4 linked regions of the Elephas maximus indicus genome follow. The protein of the gene in region 3 interacts with the protein of the main gene of each other region in a pairwise test. Links are inferred from orthologs where the notes say so. Each region holds a gene or a part of one and is shown on either strand. Other genes may lie near its edges. The genes, in order: HSD17B14, NR4A1, CDKN2D and NR4A2.

Evidence for each region.
Region 1: the proteins of CDKN2D (region 3) and HSD17B14 interact in binary tests that used the Homo sapiens proteins (3 or more experiments, as listed by UniProt). The two-hybrid records come from large-scale screens. The link is inferred for Elephas maximus indicus from reciprocal best matches to the Homo sapiens genes CDKN2D and HSD17B14.
Region 2: the proteins of CDKN2D (region 3) and NR4A1 interact in binary tests that used the Homo sapiens proteins (3 or more experiments, as listed by UniProt). The two-hybrid records come from large-scale screens. The link is inferred for Elephas maximus indicus from reciprocal best matches to the Homo sapiens genes CDKN2D and NR4A1.
Region 4: the proteins of CDKN2D (region 3) and NR4A2 interact in binary tests that used the Homo sapiens proteins (3 or more experiments, as listed by UniProt). The two-hybrid records come from large-scale screens. The link is inferred for Elephas maximus indicus from reciprocal best matches to the Homo sapiens genes CDKN2D and NR4A2.

Annotation. Positions count from the first base shown.
Region 1 is NC_064829.1:99,266,623-99,274,539, forward strand, and holds the start of HSD17B14 (17-beta-hydroxysteroid dehydrogenase 14), read right to left. Parts: upstream 3,009-7,917; coding exon 2,921-3,008; intron 2,254-2,920; coding exon 2,215-2,253; intron 1,949-2,214; coding exon 1,866-1,948; intron 831-1,865; coding exon 764-830; intron 1-763. Other genes in the region: PLEKHA4 (pleckstrin homology domain-containing family A member 4), read right to left, coding at 3,758-4,020, 4,379-4,622, 6,092-6,253. UniProt on the Homo sapiens protein: Catalyzes the NAD(+)-dependent oxidation of L-fucose, yielding L-fucono-1,5-lactone, which rapidly converts spontaneously to L-fucone-1,4-lactone. Can also act on D-arabinose and L-galactose, with lower catalytic efficiency. Does not use NADPH.
Region 2 is NC_064822.1:107,448,004-107,455,247, reverse strand, and holds the start of NR4A1 (nuclear receptor subfamily 4 group A member 1), read right to left. Parts: upstream 3,003-7,244; 5' UTR 2,861-3,002; intron 2,683-2,860; exon of another isoform or gene 1,647-2,682; intron 1-1,646. UniProt on the Homo sapiens protein: Orphan nuclear receptor. Binds the NGFI-B response element (NBRE) 5'-AAAGGTCA-3'. Binds 9-cis-retinoic acid outside of its ligand-binding (NR LBD) domain.
Region 3 is NC_064821.1:28,616,093-28,623,212, forward strand, and holds CDKN2D (cyclin-dependent kinase 4 inhibitor D), read right to left. Parts: upstream 2,841-7,120; 5' UTR 2,538-2,840; coding exon 2,397-2,537; intron 1,382-2,396; coding exon 1,022-1,381; 3' UTR 506-1,021; downstream 1-505. Other genes in the region: AP1M2 (AP-1 complex subunit mu-2), read right to left, coding at 5,482-5,504, 6,190-6,265, 7,092-7,120. UniProt on the Homo sapiens protein: Interacts strongly with CDK4 and CDK6 and inhibits them.
Region 4 is NC_064824.1:53,560,850-53,568,857, forward strand, and holds the start of NR4A2 (nuclear receptor subfamily 4 group A member 2), read right to left. Parts: upstream 3,012-8,008; 5' UTR 2,436-3,011; coding exon 2,405-2,435; exon of another isoform or gene 2,401-2,404; intron 682-2,400; exon of another isoform or gene 558-681; intron 65-557; coding exon 1-64. UniProt on the Homo sapiens protein: Transcriptional regulator which is important for the differentiation and maintenance of meso-diencephalic dopaminergic (mdDA) neurons during development.

The sequences.
Region 1 (7,917 bases), on a different chromosome or scaffold from region 3:
TTTTTCTCACAGTATGCATCGCCCCAGACATCCTATCATATCCTGGTGTTTTATTGTCTAGTTCCTCACTCTAGAATGTGAATTCCATATAGAGGCAGGAAAGTTTTCTCTGTTTTGTTCACTGCTAAATCCCCAACAGGGGACAGTGGTGATTCAAGGTAGAATTCTCACTTTCTATATGGGAGACGCGGTTAGATTCCCTGCCAATACGTGGGGTCAGTGGAACAAAACGCTGCTCAGCCCTGCACCATCCCCATGATCGGTTGCGGGTTAGACTGTTGTGTCCATAAGATCTTCATTGGCTGATTTTCAGAAACGGAGCAACAGATTTTCCTTCTTAGTCTGGAAGCACTGATGAAACCTGTTCAGCATCATAGGAACGCGCAAGCTTCCACTGACAGGTGGCTGGTCCCTGAGCACGAGGTGCATTTGCTGGGAATCAAACCCAGGTCTCTCGCGTGGAAGACAAGAATTCTACCACTGAACCCCCAATGACATCATTTTAGAGATGTGAAAACTGAGGCACAGAGAGGTGAAGACACCAGCTTGGGGCACACAGCAAGAATGAAACTGAGTCAGGATTAAAGCCCCAGCCTGGGGGATGCCATAGTTGTATTGTCCTGCCCAAAGACATAGAGAGGTATAGAGGAGGATGAGGGAATCGGGGTCAGAAAAAGGGGAAACTGCAGTGCAGGATGAAGGGGAGGGTAAAAGGAGGTGAGCTGGCTTTAGGGCAGGTTGGCCTTGGGGCCTCACAACTCACGGTAGCCAGCATTGTTGACCACACAATCCAGGCGGCCGAAACGGCGGACAGTCTCAGAGATTAGGGCCTGGGGAGAAAGAGACACTCAGTGAGGGAACAGCTTGTGGTACCAGCCCCTAGGGGGGAGGGATCCAAGGATCCTAAGAGCAAGGCAGGGAGGGGAGCTAGAGAAAGGGTGAGACTCTTTCAGGGTAATCAGGCATGTGAGGGTACTTATGGCCACACTGCAGTGTCATTTCAGAAATGCAGAGAGAAGGAATGAGACCTGGTTGGGAGGTAGCCAGATATGCAGAGTGAAGAAGATAGAGACCCAGAAAGAAAGGGGGACAGAGACCCAGAGAGAGATGGATACAGAGACCCATAGAAAAAGGGGTACAGAGAGACTCATAGAGAGGGGGACAGAGACCCAGAGAGGGGGACAGAGGCCCAGAGAGATAAGGAACAGAGACCCAGAGAAAGAGAGGGGGCCAAAAACCCAGACAGAAAGGGAAACGGAGACCCAGAGAGAGAGGGAGACAAGCGGACAGAGACTCAAAGAGAGAGGAGGACAGAGACCCAGAAAGAGGGGGATAAAGACCCATAGAGAAAGGGGTACAGAGACTCATAGAGAGGGGGACAGAGACCCAGAGAGAGAGGGGGACAGAGAACCAGAGACGGGGGACAGAGGCTCAAAGAAAGAGGAAGACAGAGACCCAGAGAGAGGGGGTCAGAGACCCAGAGAGTGAGGGACAGAGACCCAGAGAGATACTGATTAGAGGGAAGGGATAGAATCCAGAGATGGAGGCAGGGACTGTTAAGAAGGAGACCACTTGGAGGAACTCAACCATGTGACAGGTGTGGTAAGAGCCTTTAGGATGTGGCAAAGAAAACAGAATTTACTCAAGGGACATGTGATCTGGCCGGCAGAATCAGAAGAAGTCTCTGGGCAAAATGACATGGTCTGAATCATCTGGGACAGATACAAAGGACAGATAACCAGGAGAGAAGGAAAGGGAAAGGAAGAAGGAACAGCAGGTACAATAGCTCAGAGGAGAAAAAAGGCAGAGACAGAGAAAGATGGTAACATTTGGAGCTGGGGAGTGTGGATAGAAAATGCACTCACCTCCATGTCTTCCTCCTGAGTCACATCACAGCGGAGGAAGACAGTGCCAGGAAGCTCCTGCTCCAGGGCCCGGCCCCCACACTCTGCAGGGAGAGAAGGGCTGTGAGCCTCCACTCCTGGATCTGAGGGAGTAGGGGGCTGGGACTCCCGGTTCTGAAGGAGGGGGCTGGGAGCCTGGAATCCTGGGTCGGAGGGAGGAGGAGGCCAGGGGTCTGGACTCCCACGTCTGAAGAAAGAGAGGGCCAGGACCCAGGATCCTCGGATCTGAAGGAGGAGGAGACTGGGGGCTCAGGCTCCTGGGTCTGAAGGAGGAAAGGTTGGGGGCAAAGACTGAGGGACTCTCACTCACCATCCTTGTCACAGATGACCACGTGGGAACCGCTTTCCACTGAGAAGAGGAAAGGGAACAGGTTACCCCAGCACAGACCTGGTGAAAGCCTCTGCTGCCCCCTTGTGGCCACCAGGAGAGAGGGCCGAGCAGCCCTCCCACCCCTCGTGACACTCAAGTCTCATGATGATCCTCTGGGACAAAGGGCAAAGGCCCCAACATCTGTTTTGCTAGGCTACTCCAGGTGCCTGCTAAGGGCTCCCAGGCCCCCGTCCCCGGCTCCAGAGTCAACCCTAAGCCTGCAAGAGATACCTTCCCCAAGCCACCTGTTTTGCAGCCCTAATACCCGAGATCCCAAGAAGGGAGGAGCTGCCTTTAGACAACAGAAAGATCTCAAAATCTCAAGCCCCAGGCTACCACTGAAAAACCCTACCTTAGCCTGAAAATTAGAGGAGTCCTGCTGGAGTAGTGGTTAAGAGATCGGCGGCTAACCAAAAGGTGTACAGTTTAAATCCACCAGCTGCTCCTTGGAAGCCCTATATGGCAGTTCTACTCTGTCCTACACAGTGGCTATGAGTCGGAATCCACTCGACGGCAGTTAATGGCATGAAAATTGGTTTTTTATAAGAGTCTTGACTTCACTATTGGGGTCCTTTCCTCCCACTCCTATCAGCCCCCGGGCTCCTCTCCCAGAACCCCAAACCCAAGCACGCAGACCCCAACTCACCGAAGGCACGCACGATCCCGGCTCCGATGCCGCGTCCGCCCCCTGTTACAATGACCACCTTCCCAGCGTAGCGCCTTCCCGTGGCCATTCCGCGTCAGCTAGTCTCTTCTGTCTGCCACTCCAGGCCTCTTTCCACCTCCGAAGTCCCCTAAGGCCGTCGGGGTCAAGTCCTAAATAGAGGCTGAATCTTGAAGCCCGGCCCCAGGGGCGGTGCCAGGAAAGCCTCAGACCTGGGAAGTTCAACCCCAGCCCCCTCCACCTTCAGATCAAGAGTCCAGGCCCCCTCCTCCCTCAGACCCAGGAGTCCCAGACCTTGGCCCCCTCCTCCCCCAGACCTAGGAGTCCGGCACCCAGCCCCCTCCACCTTCAGATCAAGAGTCCAGGCCCCCTCCTCCCTCAGACCCAGGAGTCCGAGACCTTGGCCCCCTCCTCCCCCAGACCTAGGAGTCCGGCTCCCAGCCCCCTCCTCCTCTGACCCCGGCTCCTTCCCTCCTCCGATCTAAAAGTCCCGTTCTCTCTGGTTCCTCACACCCTGCAGTGGGAGCCGTCAGTCCCTTCCTCCCTTGGAACCTAGCAATCCAGGACTCCCGCTCTGCTCCTTCAGAAGCCTCAGTGTCACAATTCCAAACAGACCAAAAAAAAAGGGCTATTCACTAAAAGTTCAAAGTTTAATTCAAACTTGGACAGCGTCGGGAAAACAAGTTTTTGGCTGCGGAAACCACGCTCTCCTAGCTACCGGTGGGACTCAGGCCACACCCCCAGGAGCCTTGATTGGCTCTAGATCTCTGGGCGGTATCTCCAGGCCACACCCCGCGCTTCGATTGACAGACGTTTGGGTCAGAAGCTGGACTGCAGCAGAGTGACTCTCAGAGGCCACGCCCCCTCGGCCGAGGTCAGGGCGGGAGGGGCAATACCAGACTGCCACGTGGACTCCCAAGGGGCGGGGCCCACGCTACGCCCGCTACCCGGGCTTGAGGGCATCGCGGTGCGGGAATTAGCCACGGGAGGAGATCTTGGGGGAAAGGTAACCCGGGGTGTGGGGTCTGACGGAGGCGGAGGCGCAGGGGAAAGAGGATCTCCCCGGGCGTCCAAATTTCCACCTGGAGAGGATGAATGAGGCATGAGAATGGCAAACTTCTCGATCGAAGAGTCTAGATCCCCAGGCATTTCCTCTCAGACCCAGGAGTCCGGCCCCTCAGCCCCTCCTCCCTCAGCCCCTGGAGTCCAGGCTCGCAGCCCGCAGCCCTCCTCCCTCAGATCCCCATTCCCCCCAGAGCCTGGATCCCCGGACCCCACTCCCGTTTTGTCTGGGACCTAGAAGTCCCAAGTCCTGCCCCGCCCTTCCCTCACCAAAACAAATGATTCCTGGCGGCCTCCAAGCCCCTGCTCACCAGGACCTAGGCTTCCAGGCCTCCAACTTCCCTAAAACCCAGAAGTGCAAGGCCCCCAAACCCTCACCTGTCATCATTCTGTGCCACTGCGACGCCTCAGTGGCCAGGGCCTGGGAGAGGCTGAGGACCCTCTCCCGGTGACCGTCGGATGTCGGCAAGTAAGGCCTGGTGTTCCTCGGGCTAGACCGAAGGAAAGTTGGGGGGACGGCGGGGGTGGGGAGAGTATGTGCAATTAGCCAGTATAGTGAGGACCGCAGTGCGGCGCGAGTCCTTCTGGGAGTCGTAGTCCCAAACACGTGTCTCTGAAAAAACTAAACATGGCGCTTCCCACATGAGCCCACATGCATTATAGGATTTGTAGTCCCATCTACCAGATTTCCTAGAAGGAGGGGCAGGGTTTGACAGCCACCAAGATGTAATGGAAACTGCAGTTCTCACTGCGGGTCTAGGGCTTTCTGATTTTGGTTCACGCATCCCAGGAACTCATTCGTCTCTAAAATTCTGCAATGTGTAGTTCTGTAGTTGGGTGCTTTTAGTAATAATGTTGCTTCCCTCCCCTTTGGCAAATTAATTTCCCTGCTCCCTTGCCCTGCCCTCCAGTTCCTCACCTACTCCAGGACCCGGAGCTTCTGAGCCATTTCGGGGCTCCCGAGTGTCCCAAGGAGTCTACGGCAGGCTGGGAAGGAATCGGGGCATTAGGATTCTTCACTTGGAAGCCCCATGTCCTCATTTGGAGGGTAAAGAGAAGGGGCTCAGAGAGGAGATAAAATAGCCGAAAGGCACTGACAATGTTAACCTTTACCTGACGCCTGCGCTTCCGGAAGAGTGAAGGTTAAAAAAATCCCTCCACTTTTTTGTGTTCCAGGCAATGATTTGCTGCAAAGAGTGCCCTGCCTCCTGTGACTTAGATAAGACTCTGAATTACCTACTCTGAGCCCAGACACGTACCCTCCAAATTTCCGTCCTTTGTTTCATAAATGATGAGTCAAACTGTTTGTCACCCTGAAACTAGCTAGACACAGAGCTAAACATTTCCTGTTCAGTTGACTGTCCGAGACTCTCCCAGATTGCACAATCTCAACTGTAAAGCCCTCCACCTATAATTTGTCTGTTGTTGTGAGCTGCCATTTAGCCAGCTCGGACTCACAGAATCAGACTGTTGTGATTCATAGGGTTTTCTTTGGCTTATTTTTCAGAAATAAATTGCCAGGCCTTTCTCCCTAGTCTGTGTTAGTCTGGAAGCTCTGCTGAAACTTATTCAGCATCATAGCAACATGTAAACCTCCACTGCACATAAGGTGCATTGACTGGGAATCGAACCTTCCTCTCCCACATGAAAGGTGTGAACTCTACTCTTCATAAAAGTCTGAGATAGAACCACCAGAGTGGGAAAACCACTCTGATACTGGGTTCTGGGGTGCTCTCCCAATGGCCACAGACTGAGAACAATCAATTTCCTTATATTTTTTACTATTTTGCCTTTGACAACACATAGCAGCTGAGAAGAACTGGTCTTGGAATCCAGACCCATGGCCCAAACCTGAAGAGAAAGCGCTGGTGAGGTGGCAGTGTTGTCTCTGCCGCTGCTCCACCCACCACCAGGTGGGCTGGGAAGCAAACTAGCACAGGTGAAAGTTGGGGTGAATCTGGAAACTAAATTATGGGTAAGGAGGTGGTAGAAAGCATCCCAGTTTTACAAAGAGGGAAACTGAGGATCAGGCTAGAAGCAGAGGACCCAGAACCATGCCATCTCCCCACTCTCCCCATCTGTTCTCCTCACCCGTTGCTCTAGGTCAGGCTGGCGTCTGGCTGGGGACAGTGTCCTCCCCAGAGTAAGAAGCCTGGGAGTGGTGGAGTGAGGGAGGGACCGTCCACCCTCCTGGTGTCTGCGCATGCGCTCCAACTGCTCCTGGGCACTCATCCGGGGCCGGGGCAGGGGGGCCTGGGAAGACGAGAAACACAGACTCCAGCCTTGGGCTACCAATTTCTTTTTCCGAACCCCTGGACCTCCAGTCTTGTTCCCTACAGGACCCCAGAGGGATCTTCCTACAGGCAAAACGGTAACTGTCCCTGCTGTGCGTAAACGGAAGCCCAGCCAAACACTCGCACTTCCCTGGCCATATCAAGCCTCCTCGCCTTCTAGCATCAGGACTCTGGGTTGCTTGTGCCAGAAAAACAAAACAAACAAACAAAAAAAACTCTAAACTAGCAGCAACAACAGAAAAGAAGGGATGCGATTTGTTGGCTAACAAAATTATCAAGAGGATAGGTTGGGGGGGGAGCTTAGACATGACATCATACGCTCTCTCTAGCTTAGACATGACATCATACGCTCTCTCTAGCTGTCACTGCCTCTCTTTGCCTCAAAACCAAAGAAAACTAACTACTGTCTCGTAATAGAAAACCCCCAGAGGACAGCTGAGATCTGCAGCTCATCCCGGAACCTTGGGACCAATCACTGCAGGAAAGAGGATGCTTCACTCCAATTGGGGCAATTCTGAGTCACATGACCACAGGCGACACTGACAGCTAGCGGAACCACGTGGCTGGAATAAAGAAGGAGCTATTCCCAAAAAATAAACGGTCGCTATGAGTCGGAATCGACTTGACGGCACTGGGTTTTACTCCCAAAATAATTGTAATTCATAGCTTCCCTGCCAATCCTTTGCCCATCAAGCACGCTGAGAATAAAAAAGTTCCCGTGGTCCTAGGGGAAGATGGAATGTTCTGTATCCATGATAACAAAGAGCCACCAGAAATTATTTTAAATAGGGTTATTGGAGCAATTACAACTGGTTCCCTAACCAGGCTTCTGAGAGCCAACCAACCAGTGACCCCAGTGACCTGAGCGCTTCTGAAAATGAACCAACCAGCAGCAGACACACAGCTTCCAGAGCTTGTTATTGTTGCCTGACATCAGTGGGTTTCAGCTCACAGCGACTCCATTCGACTGAGCAGAACTGCCCCACAGGGTTTCTCAGCTGTAATCTTTATGGGAGTGGATTGCCAGGTCTTTCTCCCACAGAGCCGCTGGGTGGGTTGGAATCCCTAACCTTTCAGTTAGCAGCTGAATGCTTAACCATTGTGTCACCAGGGATCCTTTCCCACAGCTTAAGGACAACCAATTCCTAAGCATACCTGCCTCTGAAAGTCCAGCATTTTCTGAACTCCACACTATATGAGACCAACTCTCTGCTTTGCTCAGGGGAACTGTATCTACCTTGCTTAAGCAAGTAAGAAAATCAGCTTTTTGTTTTCCATACAGAGTGGTGGCCTGTTTATTCATCACCTCTGTGTCTTTGCATAGTCTGTTCCCCGTGCTTGGAACACTGTTTTCTACATGGCCAAACCTTTTTTTTCCAGTTCATCCAGACTCAACTGAACTATCTTTTCAAAGGCTTCTTCGGTGCTCTGAGTCCATTACATGACTTATCCTTATCTGAGACATATGATGTGTTGGTTAATTTTACGTGTCAACGTGGCTAGGATATGGTTCCCAGTCATTTGACCAAACACTCGTCATGATTAATGTGATTAATCAGTTGGCCTTGTGCAGAGCAGATGACCTGCCATAATGCAATCTAAAGTATGTAATCAGTCACTAAG
Region 2 (7,244 bases), on a different chromosome or scaffold from region 3:
CTGGGACATCTGGGAGGGCTTCCAACCTCAAACAAAAAGCAAAATCAGGCTTCAGGCCTGTCGCAGCCCACAGGCTACACCTGCTTCCAGAATGACACTATCGTTCTCCCATACCCCCCAAACGACTCTGTAGTTAGGCCTTAAGGGTCTCCTCACAGCTGGGGAAGAAGACAGCAGGGCAGGGAGGGCCAAATACCCTCGAACCCCAGTCAGGCCCAACCAGAGAAGAACCCAGGTCTTCCCTGCCTGTGTCTGAGGACAGGGCCCAGAGTGTGGCACCCAATGTTCAGAAAGTGATTCATTACACCTTAGAACAGGTATCTGATACAATCTCATGTCCCAGATTAAAACTCCTTCCTCAACACTCATTCCAAAAGAATGAGCAAACCAAGACACCTGCAGCTCAGGAGGTCGTAGTGGGGAGAGGGACACAGAAAGAACCAAAGACATTTACAAACAGCCCTGTGCCTCCGAGGGTGGGCCAAGAGCTGAGTGAGCTCGGAGGAGAAAGTGATGCCCACAAAACGGGGAGGGAGCATCAGGCTGCCCCAGCTCTGGCTCCCCTCCCCTCCCCCCCGGCCACTCCCCCTCTCCCCCGCACCTGCACCTTACCTCCACTCACTGTGTTTCAGTCACGTGAGCTTTCTTCCCCACCTCAGGGCCTTTGTTCCCTCTGCCCAGAAAGTCACTGCCCGGATGCCTGCAAGGCTGGCTCCTCATCCATCAGGTTTCTATTCCCCTTGTCACCTCCTTAAAGAGCCCCCCCATACCCATCACACTATTCTGTTTTTAGAACATAAGTAAGGACCCTGCCTGACGCCACCACGGCCAGTCTTCAGTCTCTAAAACAGTGCTCAGCACTAAGTGTTCCGTAAGTATTGTGGAATGGGGAGGGGTACACCACCCTCCTGAGAGGAGAGTCAGCGAGCTGTCTGGAAGGAGACGGGGAGGACATTTGAGCTAAGGAGCCAGACAGCTCCCAAAACTGCCTCTTCCCCTTTGGGGCAGATCAGAGGATCTTTCCTACACTGAGTCACAGCCCAGACTCTAAAGGCCTCACAGCCCTGGATCCCAGCTCTACCTCCTGCATGAGCCCACAGAAGACCTTCTTCTCCTTCCTACCAAGTATTTGAGTCTTTTATCTAAACGCTCCTGTGCAACAGTATATGGTTGACAGACCTTCTGCAGCCCTGGTGGCCTCCTGGGCACAACCTCTGCCTATGTCCCCACCCTGAAATGGACATATACTAACAGTAATAACAGTCACTAATACTTGTCAAACACCATGCTCCATACATTGTGAAGCGCTTCACACGCATGTTCTCATTTCAGCCTCGCAGCACTATGAGGAAGGATGTATGCACATTTACCAACGAGGAAACAAAGGCACAGAAAGGTTACACAACTTGCCTGAGATCACACAGCTAGGAACTGGCAATGCTGGGATTAGAACCCAGGTAGCCTGACCAGGGAGCCCAGGGCGGGGTATCACCATGCCCCCTGGGACCTGTGCAGTGGGTAGAGGCCTCAGATTGCACAGAACAGTGTGACAGACCCCACCCACTGGGCAGCTGAGCCAGGCCTCTCACCAAGCCTGACTCCTGAGATGACTTTCTGAACTCCAGCCCAGGCCTGTAAACACTTACCATTAGTCACATTCATCTTGTCAGTTTTGGCCCATCCTTCTGCCCTATAGCCCACATTTGAAATCTTCATTTTATGGGTGGTGCAGCGGTTAAGTGTTGGGCTGCTAATCAAAAGGTCACCAGCTGTTCTGCGGGATAAAAATGTGGCAGTCTGCTTCTTTAAAGATTTCAGCCTTGGAAACCCTATGGGACAGTTCGATTCTAACCTATAGAGTCACTATGAGTCGGAATCGAGTCAATGGCAATGGGTTTGGTTTTTTGGTACACTTGTCATTCCTCCCAGCTCTGGGTCAGAACAAAAAGTCAACTGGCTTCCCCTTTAAGTCTTCATCCCAGTGACTGATCTAAGTGTTCCCTTGGAATGTGTCTGGGACCATGCTTTGTGGCCACCACTTGAGCCCCTCTCCAGGGTGATATCTGTCCCCCAAACCATCAGCACCTTTTAAGTATAACAGTTGTGAATCTACCTGCCCCTGCCCATTCTTCATTTTCCCGACAGGCCCATAATACTAACCCCAAAACGCAGACCAGCACTTCACTGTCAACAAGACATGCCACCTCTGCAGCATTTCTGTGTCCACCAGTCCACTTATCAAAAATGGGCGCATAAAAGGAGAATCTGTTGAAGTCAAGGAACGGAGCTCTCCCCTCAACACCCCCCGAGGAGGTGCCGCTCTCCCCAAGTATGAGGTCGCTGTTGGGAAAGAGGGTGCTGCGGCAGAAAAATACGCTGTCATGGTAGATGTGGCTCCTGAGTCCCAACCCTAGCCCCGCTCCTGACCCCATAAGACCCTCTCTGGGCTCGATTTCCAGGCTCAGACCCACTCAGGGGCTGCGCAGGGCAATTCCGGGCCCTCCCGCCCCGACCTCCTGGCAGCCGAGCTCCGGAGCTCCTGGAACTCGTTCCCCGCAGCCGGCGGGGATATGGAAGGAATTTCTCGGGCCTGGCCACCTCCAGCGCCCCTCGCGGGCCAAACCCCACCCTTGGCCGGCTGGGAGAGAAAGGGTTGGCCGTCGCACTTGGGGGCTGACTCTGAGCCAGCAGGTTCCGCTGGGAATCCAGTCCCCCCCTCCCCCCACTCTCCAGTTTCCAAGCAAGACTCCCAGCGTGGCCCTGAGCCCATTGCAGTGCATCCGCGAAGACCCCGTAGACCCCGTTCCTCCCCGGGCCTCCCCCGGGGACCACCGTGCTCCTCCCCAGGCTGCCCCCTCACCTGGCAGGGAGTGCTTGCCTCGCCTCTCCACCCTAGCTTTCCGGGGTCGCGCATCAGCAGACGGGGAGCTGCTCTGCACCGCAGCGGCGCCCATACCCGGAGGCCGGGGGGCGCGGGCGCCGCGTGGGGGCCCCCGCTAGTTCCGCCGCCGCCGGCTCGCGCTCCTGCCGCCGCAAGGCTGCGGCTCGGCGCCCCCCGCCCCCAGGAAGCCCCCGGCCCAGCAGTTCCGGCCGCTGCCGTGCCCCCCGCCCCCGCAGCCCGCGGCCGCCCGCGTAGCCATCCCAGCCTCGGCGCGCCTCCCCCGGCGGGCAGGCGGGGACCGTGACGCGCGCCCATTGACGTCTCCGGAATCCCGGCGGCGGCGGCCGACGCAGCCTCATCAATGGGGCTAAAAATAGCGGCGCCCGGAATAGCCGCGAGCGCCCCGCCCCGCGGCACCCCCCCTCCCCAACACACACAGGCTGCACACACTGTTACATAACCCGCCTCGCTGGGGCCGGGGCAGAGGGGCTGTTTTTCACAGGGTTCTGAGGCCTTGCTAACACCTAGCGAGGCAGGAACCCGGAGCCAGGTTATAAATAAACTTACCCGGGGCTTCCCCCGAGGAAGAAGTGGAAAAAGAGGCCCGGAGAGGCTTCGCGGCGGCCCAAAGTCTCACAGCAGTTAGGCTGGCTTTAGATGACAGGGCCCCTGACTGAGCCCTGGGCACCCACACCAGCCTTTCTTGGCCTGTATGCCACCCCAAGGGCAAAGAAGCCAGGTAAGAAGAGTGCCCAGCTCCCAGACAAGAAGGCAGATTAGACAGAAAGAGGACTTCTTGAGAGAGTGAAATTTCCCCTGAAGAGAAGCAGTCCCAGACTTGAGAATGCGTGCAAGGGCAAAGCACACGTGATGGAGTCACAGACCTGGCTTCTCTAGATCATACGCATACCACTGTGTGACCTGGGACAAGTCACTTAACCTCTCTGAGCCTCTGTTTCCTTACCTATAAAATGAGGATGATAAGACTGTCTCCATCTTGGTTGTTTCTTTTCCTTTTTTTTTTGTTTATTGGAAGATTAAGCAGCTGTGAAGTTGCCCTGTACACAGTAGAATGAATTTCTCCTCCTTGCTCTCCCTTAGAAGTCCGACTTCTCCAATCCTCAGGAGTGCTTAGTGCAGGAAATACACAGTGGCCAGGAAGCCCTGAGAGACCCACCCTCCTCTGACTGTAGTCTCTGTCACAGATTGAATTATGTCCCCCCAAAAAGGTGTGTATCAATTTGGCTGGGCCGTGATTCCTAGTATTGTGTGAGTTTTCCTATATGTTGTAATCCTGCCTCTATGATGTTAATAAGGGAGGATGGGTGGAAGTTGTGTTAGTAAGGCTGTATACTCTACAAGACTGGATTGTGTCTTGAGGCAATCTCTTAAGATATAAAAGAAAGAAGGGAGCAGAGAGACAAGGGGACCTCATACCACCAAAAAAGCTGTACCAGGAGCAGAGCATGTCCTTTGGACCCGGGGTCCCCGCACGAAGAAGCTCCTAGTCTGGGGGAAGATAGATGAGAAGGCCGACAGAGAGACAAAGCCTTCCCCTGGAGCTGACACCCTGAATTCGTACTTTTAGCCTACTTTACTGTGAGAAAATAAACTCTTTGTTAAAGTCATCCACTTGTGGTATTTCTGTTTTAGCAGCACTAGATGACTAAGACAGTCTCTAAGTGCAGGCTTCCCCAATAAGAACCTTCCTGGTGGTGGGGGTGCTTGGAAGATTTCTCTGTCCCACCTGACTGGGGCATTCTTTGGATATGGGAGAACTACCTTGTCCTGAGCAAATCCTTCTTCCCCAACAGCTGCCTGCTCAGGTGTATCTGTGGGGAGGGGGTCGCCAGGCCAAGGCCTGAGCAGTGGCGCTTGGGTCCGGCTGGGTGGGGTTGGGGGTCACAGCTCCTGTATGCTGGGCGGCAGGGCCATTGGAGAACAGTCATTAGCGAGGACCCAGTCCTGTGCTCTGCTACACCAGCCACCGGTCCCTGCTCACTTTTGGAGTCACTTTAAACTATGAACACGAGATCTAATCCCCAGCACCCAGGCCAGGCCCCACGCAGCAAAGAATGCCTTCTGCACTCTCCAAAGGAGGCCCCACACCCCACTCAGCCCTCATTCCAGGGGCCACATTCTTCTCCCCACCCCCATACCCACCCCCACAAATCCTTTTCTGGACCTACCCTAAACTCCTGGTGCAACTCAGAAGCCCCTTTCTCTCATTCCTCATAATAATTCCAAGAACCTCTGGTTTGTTCCAAATCACCTCCTCAGAACCTTCACATTTTTTTCCCAGATACAAGTGTTAGGCCAATTTACAGATAAAGAGAGGCTTCAAAAAAAATAGCTGAGCGGGGGAAGCCAGGGGACCAGCTTTTTTCCACCCTCCACACTCCCCTCCTTCCTGCCTCAGCAGCTGCTTCCTAATGGGTTTCTTAAACCACTACCCCACCCCCTCTTTTTCTTTTCCCAGAAATCTAACTTTTGAAATACATTCTAAAATATTTGCCTGTGTAGGAGAAATACATTTATTTGGACAGGAAGGACTAAGGAAAAAAAAAAGGGCTCAGTTACCAGTTTTTCCATGAAGCCTTCCAGCCCACAGAGGTCTCTCCCTTCTATAAATACCTTAGCACAACTTGCCTTTATTTTAAACTCCCCTGCTTTATAATCAAAACATATATTAAAACATGCATGGATAAAACACACGCACTGTGTGGCTTGTGGTGCCAGCATGAGGTGGTGAAAGAAGCATAGACTCAAGAGGCTTGGGATCCACATTGGCTCAAACTCTTCCCAGCTGTGTGACTTCAAGGAAGTTACTCGCCCTCTCTGGGCTTCTCATCTGAAACACAAGTGTGATAACATACGTATCTCGAAGGGTTGTCATAAGTAATGCATCTTTGATAATAGACATAAAACATGTAGCAAGGAGTTGGGCACATAGTGGCAGGGCTGCCGTTTCCACAGAGGAGGACTTGCGGAGGCCATCTGGTGGGAAGGCAGGGCTGGGGAACCTGTCTTGAAGCTGCACATGCAAAGTGCCTACCATGGCTTTGCCCAGCTGGTATGTTTATGTAGGGAAGCTGCGGGGCAGGGAGGGCTGTGCAGTTGGGGGTTATGCCACCCCTTAGTGCCATTACTGATGTACAGTAAATTCCAGGCCCCTTGTTGTCTTCTGGAGTCCCTAGGTGGTTAACGCTCTCAGCTACTAACTGAAAGGTTGGAGGTTCAAGTCTACCCAAAGGTGCTTCGGAAAAAAGGCCTGAAAATCTACTTCAGAAAAAACAGCCACCGAAAATCCTATGGGGTATAGTTCTACTGTGACACATGTGGGATTGTCATGACTCATAATTGACCCCACAGCAACTGGTTTGTGGCTTTGCTGTCTTCTTGACCCAGGTCACTCAGCTAGTGACCAAGCCAGGACCACAGCCCAGATCTTCTAACTCCCAAACCAGTGCTGTTTCTACCCACCATCTTGTTCCTTCATGCCTAGCCCTTCCTCTTTCTACACAAATCCCAGGAACCATTGTTGTGTGCCACTGAGCCAATTAGAACTCATAGCGACCCTATAGGACAGAGTAGAACTTCCCCATAGGGTTTCCAAGGCTGTAAGCATTTTGGAAGCAGACTGCCACATCTTTCTCCCGCTGAGTGGCGGGTGGGTTTGAACCACTCACCTTTCAGTTAGCAGCCGAACGCTTAACCACTGTGCCACCAAGGCTCCTTCAGGAACCCCTACACAGTCCATACTGCAGATGAGGAAGCTGAGGAAAGAGAAGCTACCTGAATAGTTTGGGGGGGGGGGTTGGGGGGGCAGGCACTTTGGCCAGTGTTGTCCTGTCTTCTAGGAAATTCCTCAGGGAGGTGCTGTGGCAGAAAGCTGGTTCCTAGTCTGATGGGGAGGCAAGAAACAAGAATAGGTATTAAAATATTGTCAGAAGACCAGGAAGCAGCCTCTAAGAGGTCTCAAGCCAGCACTGCAGTGGAATCTAGAGAGCTAGTCTGAGAGGCCTCACTGGAGGAGGAGAACATGGGGGCACAGTGTGCAGGGAGGGAAAGGACCAGGCAGGGCAGAGAGAAGGAAGGGCATACCACAGTGGAGAAGGGCTGGCCCCAAAGCTGATAGGTATTAGGGGGCAAGGTAGGGATTCTGGAGATGAGGAGCTGTGAGCTGCAGGACCCAGGACAAAAAGTCAGACCCTTAGTGGTCTTCACTATATGCCCCTCAATCTTACATTATCAGAAACCCTTGATCCAACCCCACTGAGTCAGGGAGATACCATTCCTCCCCACCCACTCCCTCCCACTGCAGCAGGGAGGAGCCAAAGGATGTCAAAGGGGTTCTTGTAGG
Region 3 (7,120 bases):
CGGCTCTTTTGTCCACTGCGCAAGCGCGACGCAGGCACCTTAAAGGGGCGGGGCTGCGTCCGGCCCGCCCACCGTGGATTTTAAGGGAGCAGAGTCCGGCCCCGCCCCCGATCCTTCCGGGACGTGGTCCTCTCTTTGGCGAAGTCCCCGCCCATCGGTCACGCCCCTGCGGGGAAGGCCGCGGCCACCGCCCATTCCCCCTACTCGGGGCTCCGGGCACCCAGCTGACATCTGGGGGCCCTTTCTCCACTCGCGGTTTCCTGCCTCCCTTCCGTTCCGACAGCGCAAACCGCTGCCCCACCCAGCTCACTCACCCCTGCTACCCTGGGAATTACCGCTCTCTCCCCTCCCCCACAGTATCGGCGCTCCGCGAGCCACCATGCCTACCCCCACAAACATCGCCATCCCAGACACAGAAATCTGAAGCCACCCTCGCTGTGGTCATACTCAAGTCTTAATTTAATGGATAAAAACATTAAATTATCACACTGAACAATTTCTTCAATAAAGCTTAATAAATAGAATCTATTTTTTCAACACTGTACAAGAGACTGGATAACAGGCTTTCAACAAAATATAGATGAATTCATGCCACCCCTTTATGGATTTGGAACTCTGCCCCCACCCCATGTCCAAAGCAGTGCGCACCCTTCTGGTCTCTGGGCGCAGTCGGCCGAGGTCGCCAGGTGCCAGGAGACTTGGTGGCGATGACCCGATGACCTCACTCCGGGGCTGGGTCTTTAACGCTCTGCCCTGGTCTGGTCTGCAGCCCCAGCAGCCTGGGGCGCGGAGGAAACTGAACCGTTTAGGTGGCTTTTGCATGCAGAAGCCCCACTCTTTCCAACACACCAAAAGGGGTGAGAAAAACAAACGAGAAACGCCCCCCAAACACACACACACCCAGAAATCAACACCAGCAAGCCACAAACTGGCGCCCCTCCCCCTCAACACTGGACAGTAGGAGTAAGAGGAGAAAGTGTTTCTTCCCTCCTCTTCAGAGATGTGCTCAGTGAAATCCTGGTCACAGTGGGGCCACCAAGTGCCCTTGCAGGATGTCCATGAGGTCCCGAGCCCCTCTCTGCTGCGCCAGCTCCAGGGGCGTGAGCCCCCTGGCGTCCCGGTGATGGAGATCAGACTCAGCAGCCAGGAAGCTGACCACCGCGGCGTGACCCTCCCGCACCGCCAGATGGATTGGGAGTGCCCCGGTGCCATCAGGCGTGTTGACATCGGCGCCATGTTCCACTAGGACCTTCAGGGTGTCCAGGAATCCAGTGCGAGCTGCATCGTGGGCTGGAGTGGTGCCAGAGACATCCTGGACGTTGGGGCTGGCCCCTTGCTTCAGCAACTCCAGGGCGATGGTGGGACTGCCGAACATCATGACCTGTGTGGGGCAGAGGGTGAGGGGTTCCCCCAAGGAAGGGGACCCAGAAAAGGGGGTCCCAGGAGAGAGAAGGGTCTTCCAAGAGCAGGAAGGAGGCCTGTTCCAGAAAAGGAGTCCTTTAGGGAACAGGAGAAATCCCAGGGAACACAGCCCTAGGGGGAGCTTTTTGAGACCCCAGAGAACAAGACCTTCTGGGAAAAGGAACCCCAAGGAGCTAGGCATTGCCCTAAGGATAAAATGAAAACTTCCTAGGGAATAAGCCCTATGGCAACTTTCAAGGAACCTAAGCTTCTTCCTAAGAAACTGGAGACGACCACCAACACCCCACTCCACCCCGGAAATAGGATAGTATAAGGAAATATGAAACCTCTTCCAGAAATGGGCCCTCAAAGAACCTGACAGCCCTCTCAAGGGAAAGGGGGATGTCCAGGTAATTTGAATCGCCTTCTCCAGGGAATATTCCCCCGCAATATAATGAGGATGCTGTCCATATTATCTCGAGAAATTGAATCCCCCATAAAATGTCCCCCAGAGAATAAGGGACAATCCGAAACCATCCCCCTATTGGGGGAATCTGCAAACCCCCGCAGGGCTGGAGACCTCCAAGTAACCGGATACCTCTCAGAGAACTCCCCCCCGAGAAAATGGGGATGCCCTGGAAACATGAAACCCTCCTTCTGGAGACCGCCTCCCCCAGAGGTAGGGGAGCACCCCAAAACCAGAGCCGTCCCCATGAAACCGTGACCCAAAGATGTTGAACCCCCACTAAAAAAGGTCCTCCTCAGGGAAAGTGAATGCCGCTCACCCAGGGAACAAGGAATCCTCCAGAGAAGATGGAGAACCCTCCCCCTTCGCCCAACCTTACCCTCCCCTCCCATGAAAGGGGACCTCAGAGAGCAGCGTCAGCCCAGTGAAGGAGGAAAAGCCCCCAGTCAGATCCCTCCAGGTCCAGCCGACGAGGGTCAGGGGTCTGGGGGCCGCGTCCTCTCCCCGCTCCGGGCCGGCCCGGCCTCACCTGCAGCGCCGTCTTGCCGAAGCGGTTCAGGGCGTCGGGGTGCATCAGCTCGCGGTGCAGAAGGCGGCGCACCTCCTGCACGTCGCCCCGGGCCGCTGCCCCGCTCAGTCGGTCGCCGGCATGGACCTCCTCCAGCAGCATGTCGATGCTGGCTGCCTGCGAAGCCCCCCGCCCCACAGCGGCTGGTCAGCGCGGGGGAGTCCGTGAGCGCCGGCCAAGCAGCCTTCCCAGGGCCTGGCCGCCGTGGCTCGGCCTGCGTGATGCTCCCAGCTCAGCTCGCAGGTCTGGAGCTCCTGCGCGACCCCCAAGCTCCCGCACGGCTCCTCCCTCTGTCAGCCGGCGAGTGGCGAGGGGCTAGGAGCCGGGCCCAACCCTCCTTGGCCCAAAGGACTCAGCTCGGCGCCCGCCCCTTGGGGGCCGGGTCTCCCCCCTACTTACCCACCCTCCTCCTCGACGGGCGGGGTCTGCTCTGAGCCGGCGCCGCCGTCGCCGCCGAGCCGGCCCCCCGGGGGGCGGAGCCACGGCGCTCGCTGCCCCGCCCCGAACACCGCCGTTTTGTTTTTTTACGAACTCGCTACAATGTAGCCAGGCAGAGCTGCCCGGCGCGCGACCCTGCGGCGCCCCGCCCACGAGCCCCTCGCAACCAATGGTCGTGAGTCGCCGGGGGGGTTTCGTGCTCTGGCGTGGAAGGTGTCGCTTCTGATTGGTCCGGACGCGGCAACCGTAGGCCGCTGGCAATGGCGGGGTTTTCGGTTTTCAAACGCGCCTGGCGGGCGGGAAAGAGGGCCGGTTTAACTGACCCAGCGAAGAAAGGTCAGGGGCAGGGTAACGCGGGCTGCGCCGGGACCTCGGCACCTGGGCGGGGGGAAAGGAGGCAGGGCTGGGGCCGCCTAGCCCGGGATTCCACCTTTCGGTCACGCGATTAGCGTTTTGGGTGGCGTAGAGGTTAAGTACTACGGCTGCTAACCAAGAGTTCAGCAGTTCGAACCCGCCAGACGCTCCTTGGAAACTCTTAGGGCAGTTCTACTCTGTTCTATAGGGTCGCTATGAGTCGGAATCGACTCAACGGCAGTGAGTTTGGATGTGCTGAGCACTATTTCATTCATTCCCCACTGTGCACTGCACCGGAACTTTTTAGGGGGGAGCGCACACAATGAAATTCAGTCATTTTAGGTAGCGTCGAGCACCGTGACAGAAGTAAAACGATGAAATGGGGTGGGTGAGGAAGGACTCACGTTCTGGATTCAACAGCCCACGAGCCTAGGAGGAGAGTCGTGGCCAAAAGCCGCTACAGAGGCCTCCATTCAGAGATTTACTGATCACCTACTCTGTGCTAGGCACCCTCCACTGCCTCAGTCTAGGGCGGGAGAAGACAGTAGTTAAATCTTTTCAGGGTCTAAACGCTATATAGCTGATAAGACAGGATAAGTGGTAGCTCCTCGGGAAGGGAAATGCGGAGGTGAGGGAGGTGGAAAGGGAGCCATGTATACGTGGGGAATGCGTGCCAAGGCAGAGGGAACTACCCCTTGCGCCCTGAGACTGAAGCGCACCTGGTATGTGTCCAACACCTGAAACAGAATGAGTGAGGGGGCATTGGCCTGTAGTTTTCTTTTCTTGTGGTGTCTGTCTGCTTTGGGTATCAGGGTTATGTTTGCTTCATAGACGGAATTAGAAAGCATTCCTTCTCTGTCTTTTGGAAGAGTTTGAATAGTATTGGTGTCAGTCTCTAAATGTTTTGGTAGAATTCTCCGGTGAAGCAAAGGACTTTTTTTGTTGTTGGTAGGTGTTCGATCACTGATTTAATCTCATCACTTGTTATGGGTCTGTTGAGACTTTCTATTTCCCCTTGAATCAATTTGGGCAGGTTGTGTGCTTCTAAGAATTTGTGCATTTCATCTAGGTTCAGGGGCAGATTACCAAAAAAGCAAGGTAAGTATGGGGTTATTTGTGCTTACTTACTAATGTGTAGTGAACAATTTCACATTTTTTCAACTTATCAAAGATTCTGCTTCTAGGTATGGCTGGCACCTGTCTCTCTCACAACCCCACAGTATGTTCCTATAAATTCAAAGCCTCTTTTTAAATTTACAATCCCTGACAGGGATGGATTATCAAAAATGTGGTGGATTGTTCACTACACATTAGTAAGTATGCACAAGTAAGAGTGCGCTTACCTTGCGTATTGGGTAATCCACCCCATCTAGGCTATCCAGTTTGTTGCCATACAGTTGTTCATAATATTCTGTCATAAATCTCTTTATTTCTATCAGGTCGCAAACTGTCAAATTTGTGTATATTTTGCTGTATGTATTCTCAACACAACAACAAAAATAAATTTTTTTTAAGTTAAAAACAGAAGAAGGGGGGAAAAAAAGAACAAGGGGACAGAGGAGGAGAGGGGCTGACCAAGACTTAAGGGCTGCAGTGAGGACTTGGCTTTTACTGCTAACAAGATGGGAACCTTGGGAGGGTTCTGAGCAGAGGCAGGAGCTGACTTAGGCGTTAACACGCGCCCTCTGGTGGCTGGAAGGGGGAGAATAGACTGGGGCCAAGCAAAGACGGGAATAGGGGACCAGGGTCCAGCCGACCGCCATGGCCCAGGTGAGCAATGATGGGCACCGAGGAGGTACATGAGCTGCCCACTCTCATCCAGCACCCCAGGGACGCACACACACAGCCAAGGAAGCACATACACAGTGGCTAGACTCATCTTTTTAATAACATCCTAAAACTCAGTGGAATGGGCAGCGGGGCCTCTGGGCTCAGCAGCTGTGTTGGAGGAGGGGCCCTGACATCCGCTAAGGCAGGTCACTGCAAGAAGGCACTCGTGAGGGGGCTTGAAGCCCCTCCCCTATTTCTTCATATAAAATCAGAGGGAAGTCCCAAGGGAGAGGGAGGCAGGGAGACCATCCTTCCCAGCCTGTGGGTAGAGAAAAAGGTGAGCAGGGGGCCTGATGCTGGGAGCTGGGAGAAAGACACTGGCAGGCCAGGGGCCTGCCCTCATCTCCCCAGGATCTGCGGCCGGCTCCTGGGGAGACAGAGGTCCCACACTCTCCCATGTCCAAGCCCCCGACTCTTCTGGCTTCTAGCTGGTACGAAGTTGATAATCTGCAGGGAAACAATGAGCTAGGCAATCTCCAACTTGAGGGAAGAGACAGAGAGACAGCTCCCCAAATCCATCCCCCACTCCGGTGCTCATGATCAACCCCAGGAGTATGTAACAAGGCTAAGGATGAGGTTAACGCAGGGGCGGTAACCATATCAATGGGCCTCTTTGTAGGCAGCAGATGGGGTGCTGTATGCCCAGGCCCTCTTCCAAGCCCCAAGACCACCCTACAGCTGACAACTACCTCCATTTGAAAGATAGGCCAAAATAAAGGATATCATCCGTGAACACGGTGCTCCATTAAAAAACTATTTGAGACCAAAAGGTCAACAATTACTCAAAGCAAAGGTGAGAAGAAGATAAGGGGGCAGGGAAACTGGAGCGCAGGAAACCGAAAAACCAGAACACAAAGAGAACGTTGACACATTGCGAAAAATGTAACTAACATCACTGAATAGTTCATGTAGAAATTGTCAAATGCGAATCTAATTTGTTGTCTAAACTTTCACCGAAAATACAATAAAATATTAAAAAAAAAAATAAAGGCAGGCAAACCAAGCCCCAGGGTGGCAAGGTGACACAGGGGCTGGCCTGGGCCTATGCCTGTTGAGTTTTGGAGCCAGAATATAGTCAAAACCTTGAGGCCTCATCTGCCTGACCCTGTCCCAGGGAGCTGGGCTGCCTTACCTCCACTCTGGGTGATGTAGCGAACCCAGGGCAGGGCCTGGTAACCACTTTTCTCAATGATCTTCATATATCGGACCTGGAAGGGGATGAATAGAAAGGTGGCCCAGGCTGGGCAGAGTGAGTTGGCCCAGGCTGGGGGGAGTGAGGTGGCCCAGGCCGGAGGAAGAGGTGGCCCAGGCCGGAGGAAGAGGCGGCCCAGGCCGGAGGTGGGGGAGAGGTAGCTCAAGCTGGGGTGAGGCGATCAAAGCTGGAGGGACAGTTGGCTCAGGCTGGGGGGAGTGAGGTGGCCCAGGACAGAGGGAGAGGTAGCCCAGGCCAGGGGTAGAGGTAGCCCAGGCTGAGGGGAGTGGGGTAGCCCAGGCTGGAGGGAGTGGGGTGATCCAGGCCAGGTAGAAGGAGGTGGCCCAGGCTGGCAGAATTGAGGTGGCTGGGGCCAGAGGCATATATGTGGCACATATTGGGGGAATAAGGTGGCATGAGTTTGAAATAATAAGGTAACATGGCTTGGCTTGAAGGGGAAAGGGATGGCATAGCAGTGTGTTGGGGTAAAGGGGGGTTTGGACAGAGAAAGAGGTGACACAGTGCCTGGGAATAGACAGGACATGATTTGGGGGGCTGGAGGTAGCACAGGTGAAGGAAATGGTGGTGAATGTCTTGCAGACAGGGGAGCGAGCGATGTGATCAAGGTAGCCAGGGAGGAGGTTGCACAGGCCAAAGTGGGAGGTGGAGGGAGAGGAGACCCAGGCTGAGAGCAGAAGTGGCAACACTGTCCAGGGGAGGGCAAGGAAGACTACAGAAGAGAGGTGATACAACCCAGGGACAGGAAGTGACCCAGGGCAAGAGATAGGAAAAAAGAACCCACTAGGGTCAAGGAGGGGAGCCTCCCTGCCCTCTTCCCTCACCTGGATCCCAGAAACGGTGAAATAGGGGA
Region 4 (8,008 bases), on a different chromosome or scaffold from region 3:
CTCTGAGAAGCGGGGCTGGCTCCTTGAGGCGAGGACCCATACTGCGCCTGAACACAAGGCATGGCTGGAAATGAAACAGGGTAATATACACTCAGCCTGGTCAACTGAACACTTTCTCCCCGGCTCGGGTGCACCTGGAGCTACACCGGCAGCCCGCGGCGGTCAGACAGAGAGAGCAGGGGCGCGAAAAGAAGGGCGGGAGAGCGCGAGTGCCGCAGCCAAAACAGTGCAGGACGAGCGAGGAAGGGCTGGGCACATAAAGACCCGGAGTTAGAAAGCTATTGAGGGTCCACACTCCCGGATAGTTCCAAACACCCCCCCACGCCCGCCTTCATAGCCAACCCCGCTCTGATCAGCCTCTCTGAAGCTCGGGCTCCGAAATCTCGTTCTAGAAACCACTCCGCTGAAGTTGAATTGCACAATTAGGCAGTTGCTCCCAAAGGTGATAGTTCCGGGAAGCCTTAAGTTACAGGGTTTGCCCGGGGAAATAGCGTTGCCGAGTCTCTTGACGTTAGGGAACTCTGGGAAGGGAGGGAAAGAAATGAAGTTGCACTAACCTTCAGCCGAGTTACAGGCGTTTTTGAGGAAATTAAAGGTGGACAGTGTCGTAATTCAATGAAGGACAAAGTTTCCAAGATTTTTAGAAAAGCAATGGGGAGTCCAGCCTTTCAGATCTGCTCCCTGAAATACAGACACAGGAAGCGTCAGGACAACTTTCCCGCCAGAGATTCCGCAGGACATAAGTAGACTCAATCAGGCAGGCCCTCCAATGCCCTCCCAGTTTGTTTCATTGGAAATCAGTGTATAGCCTTTACCAAACACAGCAGATAGAATGAATGTGTAAGAGAGATGTCTGGAAACAACAGAAAATGCCACCCATTGCACTGTGTAAATCATTGCAGAGAGAGGGTTCATGAAGGAAGAAATGTATTGCATGTAGTTATACTTAACACTTATGGTGTAATGAAGCTGTGGAGGACATGTTTCCATTTTAGTTTAACAGGCCTGAATCAGAAGTCTGGACTTTAATCAAATGAAGCATTGGAAACTTCTCTTGAAAAAAAACTTCTTTTTTTTTTTTTTCAGTAACATTGGCTTTTCTTTTGGGAGGGGGGAAGAAAGTTAAAAGTTAAGAATATAAAATGAGGGGGGAAAACAAACAAAACCACCAAGGGTTAGAGTGTTAGGTCTGGACATAGGGAAAGACCATTTGATTCCAGTTGAAGCATCTGGGTTTCCTAAGTGCTTTCGACAGAGCACTAGGATTGCTCTTCAGCACTATGGATACAAGTAAACTGGTGTTCACTTTTCCAGGAACCCTGTCTTTCACACTATTTTTAATGGCCAAGGAGTAGAAAGAGGGGACCCTACTTTTCCAGGAGGATCTTAAGCCAGCTGCTGAACGAGGGAAATATTCCTTACATGGTACTGGCATCAATGTTAAAAGTGCTTCCCAGTATGGTAAGTTGAATACCTTTCCTACTTCCCTGTACAGCCTTCCCTGATCTGCCTACTTGCTGGAACAAGGAATACTTGTATTCTAGTAATTTTCAGATGTCCCCACTTGGAAGGCATTCTAGAGCATTTTTTTTTTTTAGATAATCTTATTACTAATGAAAAAGAAAGCCAAATATCCACTCCTGTTTTGTTTTGTTTTTTTCCATCCTCTTCAAAACCTTGCTTCATGGGGGGGGGGGGGGGTGACCAGAAAAAAATAGCTGAAAGAAAGGGAACTGGATCCTCACATTCGTTCAGAGAGATGTCTGTGTAGAATATTAATCCCCGGGTAGCTTTGCAGCTTCATAACTGTACTCTCTACACATCCTCTGTCTCTGTATTTCTCTCTCTCCGGCATATGTCAAACTCAGAAATTTCAGGTAACTTAGTAGCACAACACTCTACCAACAACACCTTTAATCAACAACACTCGGGAAACACGGGCACGCTGGCCAGCCGCGGTGACACTGTTCCCAAGCAACACATAAACTGAAGAACTTTCCCTGTCACTTTGCGGGCAGCGTCCAGGCCCCTCGTATACGCACGACTTGGAATTTCCGTATTTAAGGACCACAATCAATTTCATCTTAAGAGCAAACTTTGCGCGTATTTCCGCGGGCTAGCCTGCAACTCCCAGAAACGTGCAAGTCCCCCTTCCACTTCCACCAGTAAGGAGCCTGGGAAGCCTCTGTTTGGAACCAACTCCCCCCTAGTGCCAAAGCCTGAGTTCTGACGAGCACTCTCAGTAGCTACGCGCATCCATTCTCCCCACTCTCTGGCCCCGCTCGCCCTCCGCGCCTCTAGCTCCCACTTTCAGAGAACGTGTACCACACGAGTAGAAAGAAAACACACGCAAAGAGGAAAGGAGGATAAAAGAACGCGAGCTTCACGGGCTGCACCTACTCACTTAGGAGTTCTCCGGGTCTCTCTTCATTCATTCAACTCCGCCGAAGTGCAATTCCCTCTGGGAGCCGGGTGGCGGGGTCGGGGAGGGGCGGGTGAGCGGGGCAGAGGGAGCAGAGACACCGCGAGCGGGAAAGGAAGAGGGCTAGGCGGCCGGCTAGGCGGGCGAGCGGGGACCGAGGAGGAGAGCGCGAGCCGCCGGGCGGACTGGCCCTGGCCGCCAATGTGCCTTTGTTTATGTGGCTCGCGCTGCCGCTGCCAACATGCACCTAAAGTCTCCGCGCGTCAGCGCGCGTCAGCAGCTTGTGGCCCAATCGCCTTGCAGCCGCGCTCCCCGGACTCCTGGCCCGCGCTGGCTTTGGTATATTTCCGACCTGACGTCACGAGCACGGCAGATTTTAAGGTGGGAACCGTTCTGGGTTCACCTTGGTAGCTGGCTTGGTTTATTTATTTTTTTCTGAAAGAGGTGTGATCTCTCCACCCAAGCCCGCGCAGCTCGCAGAACCTGGACACCTCGCCGTCTCCGAAGCCCCCGCGCCCATCGCGGCTGCAGCGCAGCTCACATGCGAGGAGGATGCAAAAAAAAAAAAAAAAAAAAAAGGCTGGGCGGAAGGGACCCCTGGTGTGGGCCAGGTAGCCCGCACCTGAAACAGCAAGGGATGGGGTGTGCAGTGCAGTGCCCTAACCACCCACCCACACTCCTCACCCCCCCCCCCCAACGGAAGCGCGTACAGATAAATGTCCCATGACACAAGATGGTCAAAGGGTTCAGGCTGTTGGGGAGGGATTTCCCTGCTAGGTGCTTTCTCCCTGTCTGTCTCTCTCTGTATCTCTGTCTCTGTTTCTCACACACACACACTGCAATGGAGGGAAGAGGGTGAGAGTAGAGGCTATGTTTCTGCGTTGCCTTGTTTCTTTGCAGTGCCCACATACAAGGGAGGAATCAGTGTATGGAGGGGGTGGGTAAGGAAGAGCGTGGACAGTGACCCAGCCCTTCAGGAACCCCAGAATCAGAGTGAAGCGTCGACCGCTTTCCCTTCTCAGACAATGCAGCCGAGCAGCAGGCAACAGGTGCGCCTTCTGCAGGAAGGTGCTCTGATCCCACCTTCTGCCAACTGTAATACTTTCAGCACACCCCGGCGCCCACCGTCTCTTAACCCTTACATGAGTTTTAGGGAAATAAGTTGACCTTCCGCTGTAACACAGGGTTCTCACGCGTCAACTTGAGGGCCAACGGAGAAACGCAGGACATTATGGCTGGAGGAGGGGAGGGCGGGGAGGTCTCCGTGAAGCGTGAGGTGCGGGCGCTCAGCTCTTCCAGGCGAGGGACCCGGGCAGGAGGTGGGAGCGGACCCTCCCAGCCCGCGGGGTGGCCGCCGACTCTGCTTAGCGAGTCAATCCGCCCGCAACGCTGAGAGGGCAAGGCGCTTTCTAGCAAAGTAAACACCGCTTCTTCAGAGGGCGAGCCCCCCTCCAGGTCCCCCGGCCGGCCTGAGCTAGGAGGGCCTCCTGGGGCTTCTCCCGTGGGGCTGGAAGAGACTGGGACTAGCGGAGAGCTCGGAGACGCTCCCCACCCGCGGAGAGCGCTCCAGCAGCCCCTCCTCCCTCGGCATGGCCTGTTTGCGGGCTGCTACGGGCCCCTCTGCCACTCGCGTCCCCTCCGTGGAACTATGCTCAGCCCTAATCTGCACTCCCGCCTTTGCACGCTTCCCGCTGCCCCCTGCTCCTCGGCGGCTGGAGAGGCGCTGCCATTCGGTACACAGCAGCTGCCCCGGAAAGCTTTTTTGCGCCGCAGCCTCAGGGAAATCTACGTGTCCACCTTAAGTTTTCCCCAGACTTTGCGGTAGCCGCTACCACTGTTACCACTGGTGCAGCTCCGAGGTGCCCTAGGGGGCGCGAGAAAAAAATAAAACCAGGAAGTGTGTGTGTGTGTGTGTGTGTGTGTGTGTCTGTGTCTGTGTGTGTGTGTCTGTGTGTGTGCAGGGTATGTTATTGTGGTGGGTGAGTATATTTAAGTACCGGGGAGAAAGGGAGGAGGGCGAAGAATAGCTTGTTAGCATGAGCGCCGTAGCGTCAGCACCCCGTGGGCAGAAGCGAGTCCACGCGAACCAAAGGGAAAAAGTGAGAGTTTGGAAAGCTGGGGAGAAGGAAGGGGGTGGGGGTGGCGGTGACGCAGGGGCGCAGGCATTGACGCACCCGCCCGGCGGGGCCCAAAAATAGCAGTAGCTCCAGCGTGGATGGCGCCCTCCCAGGTTCCCTTCCCCTTCCGCTAGGGAGCAGGGCGCGGCCAGAGGGGGAGCTTTCCTTGATCCCCGCGGTGGGCCAGGCTCCAGGAAGCTATTTCAGACAGTCGGAAACGCAAGCTTGGCCAAGCTAGGGTGGCAAATTATTTTTTAAATCTAGTCTTAGGAAAGCGGGGGCCGAGAGAACTTTAAAGTTGTAACCACCACTCTTCATACAGACACTAATACGAGCATCTAAATAGATACATTCGCTCCCTTCACTTCTCCCTCATTGTGATTAAAAACACATCCAGATTTGTGCTGGGTTTAGTCTGGGAACCACCTAAGGACTCCCTCCCAGGGAATGGAAAAGCGTCCTAAAGTTCTTAAAGTGAGCGTCCAAGGAAGCCAAACACTGTAATGTGATTTATTCTTTAACACCAACCTGTCGAATCTGACAGAGGCTTTACCCAAATCTTAACGTACTCGGGACAGTTTTCACAGAAGCTTATCGTCATTATTAACTGGGAATGGGGTGCTTAAACATAAACTGAGAAAAAAGGGGGCCTCTTTTTTGTCTTCTACAATCCTTTTCCCAAATTCCTATTCTGATTCCTGGGAAAAGTTGCTTCTTGAGAAGTACCAGGACTAAAATCAATTTTTGGATAAACTACTCCTTTTTTTTTTACTCCTTGGGTTGGCACTTTTGGTAGGTTGCGGATGTGCTGTGGGTGAAATGGATCAAGCACAGGGAACAGAAAGTGTAAAGAAAGGTCGTCCTTCAAAGTCCAGACTCCTGTTACCTCACCAGGTTCTGATGGGTTTAAATCCCAGAAGAACCGCCAATATCTGTAATTGACTGATCCTGTCAGTAGGGGGCCTGACTCCACAACGTTCAAGAAGATCGATCTCTCGCACACACACATACACAACTATCTACTACTTAGACCAAGCCTGAGGAGAGAATACTGCAGGCCCAAATATTCATATTGTGTTGGAATTCATAAATAGCTACAAATCTTTGATTCTCTCCTATTTTTCTCAAGAAGAGAAACAGTTATAACACATTTTCTTTTTAAAATTTCCTCCTGCCCATTTTCATTCACCGTTAGGTCACAGGGGAAGAAAAAAAAAATCATACTGGTATAAAATCTCTCCTTTTATTACCAAGCAGTTCAAATTGGCGTATTGTTTGGAAAAATGAAGGCATGTTTTCAAATCCTATGATTACATGTTTAAATAAATTATAGTTTAGAAGAGGATTCCTGTGGGTGTACTTGCTAGTACATAGGAGAATACTTTCGTGCACAGAGGTTTAATTACACATATAATGGAATCAAAATGTAGAACTGAACAACCTTTTAGAAAATGTTAAAATGATGCTTTAGGCTAAAAGAAACCGAAATTCTGCATTTATATGACTGCAATCCTTCAAGATTCTTGAACATAAACAGTTCAAATAAAACATTTTATAACCTAATTAAAATGACAATAGTGTTTTTTTCTCAGGGTTCAACATCTAATATAACTTTAAATTATTGCTATGTATAAATACATAGTTATCCCATAATGGTTTCTTTTCTTAATAATTTAAAATAAATGGGAGTAAAAATCCATGCTATCCATAAGTAGCTCCATCTTTTGAAACCAACTAAAACAGAAAACTATTATTATTGATATATATTATTATTAGATGATTTCAAAAAAACATTTAGGAAGGTAACGTTACTGTATTATCTTTTATACCAGCCAATAGTGAGCAACACATATTGGCACAAGTAAAATATTTTTATAAAAAATCAACATAAGTAATACATACACTTACATCTAAACCAAAGTATTTTATTTTATGCATGGCTAAGCAGATTAAACTTAATAAAATTCAGCTTTTGGTATAATTTAGAAAGCAAACAGGGATGTAATCCCATAAGATTTTCTATCTTAATGCATGGGAAAGGGGCCTTTAGGGATTTCCTTCACTATTCTCCCAAAATGAACTCAGAATAGACCTTTCAATGCAGATATAGTGAAACAGACGTACCTGTTATGCCCTAAGAGTGAAGGTAACTTTAGAATTTTCATAATAAAATTACTTAATGAAACCTATTCTAAGCACTAAGATGAAACATACTTTAAATTATATTTGGATAACCTTGCATTCACAGCATTTTTAGCCATTCGACAGGCAGTTTTATGGCAGTGGTAGAAGAAATAAATTTTCACTTTGAAAAACTTTCTGAAAATACAAAATCATATTTTAATATTGAGGCGGTTTTGCAGCTATTTTGTTTTTGCCATTTCATTTGCATTGATAGGATATTAATCAACTGAATCATTTGTTCCTACCATATAGGACACTTAAGTCAATTGCTTAGCAGATATTCACATTTTGGGTAGTTGTAGCTTTTATTCAGCTTTATTTAGCCCACTTGTCACCAAAAAACCACTTACAGCAAAGACTTTAAAACTGATTTCTTACTTCGTTTTAGAACTCAGTTCTGGAAATGTGTAAGGATGTGCAGAAGAAAACAGCACTTTTTTTTTCTAGAAGCATCTACTTATAAATTAAAATTTTAAAACTGAACATATGGTAAGACCTCATGCCACTCAAATAGTATTTTGCATTATAAAAAATCCTTCATCTTTCGTTAATACTCAATTTATAGTAACCATCTCCTAAATATCTTTTAGGTTAACTGCTTAGTATTTTCCTTAGATTTCATTGCTAATTTCAGTAAACATGGGACTCACTGAAATGTGCGAAGTCCTAAAAGACATAAAGATTCTGAAAATAAATTGCTATATGCTATGAAAATATCAAGGTCACTTGTAGTCGTAGACGTAGTAAATAATATTAATAACCATATCACTATTAGATAACATTTCCTTAAATAGATAAAAAGGATACACCTAGCAACGGAGTTTTTATATGTAAATCACAGCTGGCTAGTTTTTTTGTTCTATCTTGAATGATAAAATAACCACTTTTGATTTTTTTCCTTCAACCTTACTGATAGGAAACTCTCCATTTAACAAGAAAATGAAGATAAAGCACTGATATATTACAACAAAGGAATACATGCCCTTTTTCTCATAATTCTGCAATTATCAAGCCTACAATTTTAACACTACAAAAGTAACTTATAGCAAGCACCCTTATAGCGATAAGTAATAAATCTAATTACCATATCCTTTGAATAGATGTAATATAAATTTCATTGCTCACTTAAAAGTTCTAAAGTTAACAGCATAAACTTGAAGTTGAGTAATTAAGTAATCCTTATATAGACACTTATTAAAGTATTTATACATATTATCTTAAATCTACATCTATCATTTTGCCAATTAAAATTAGGACTTTAATTGCAATTAAGTAATTTAATTGC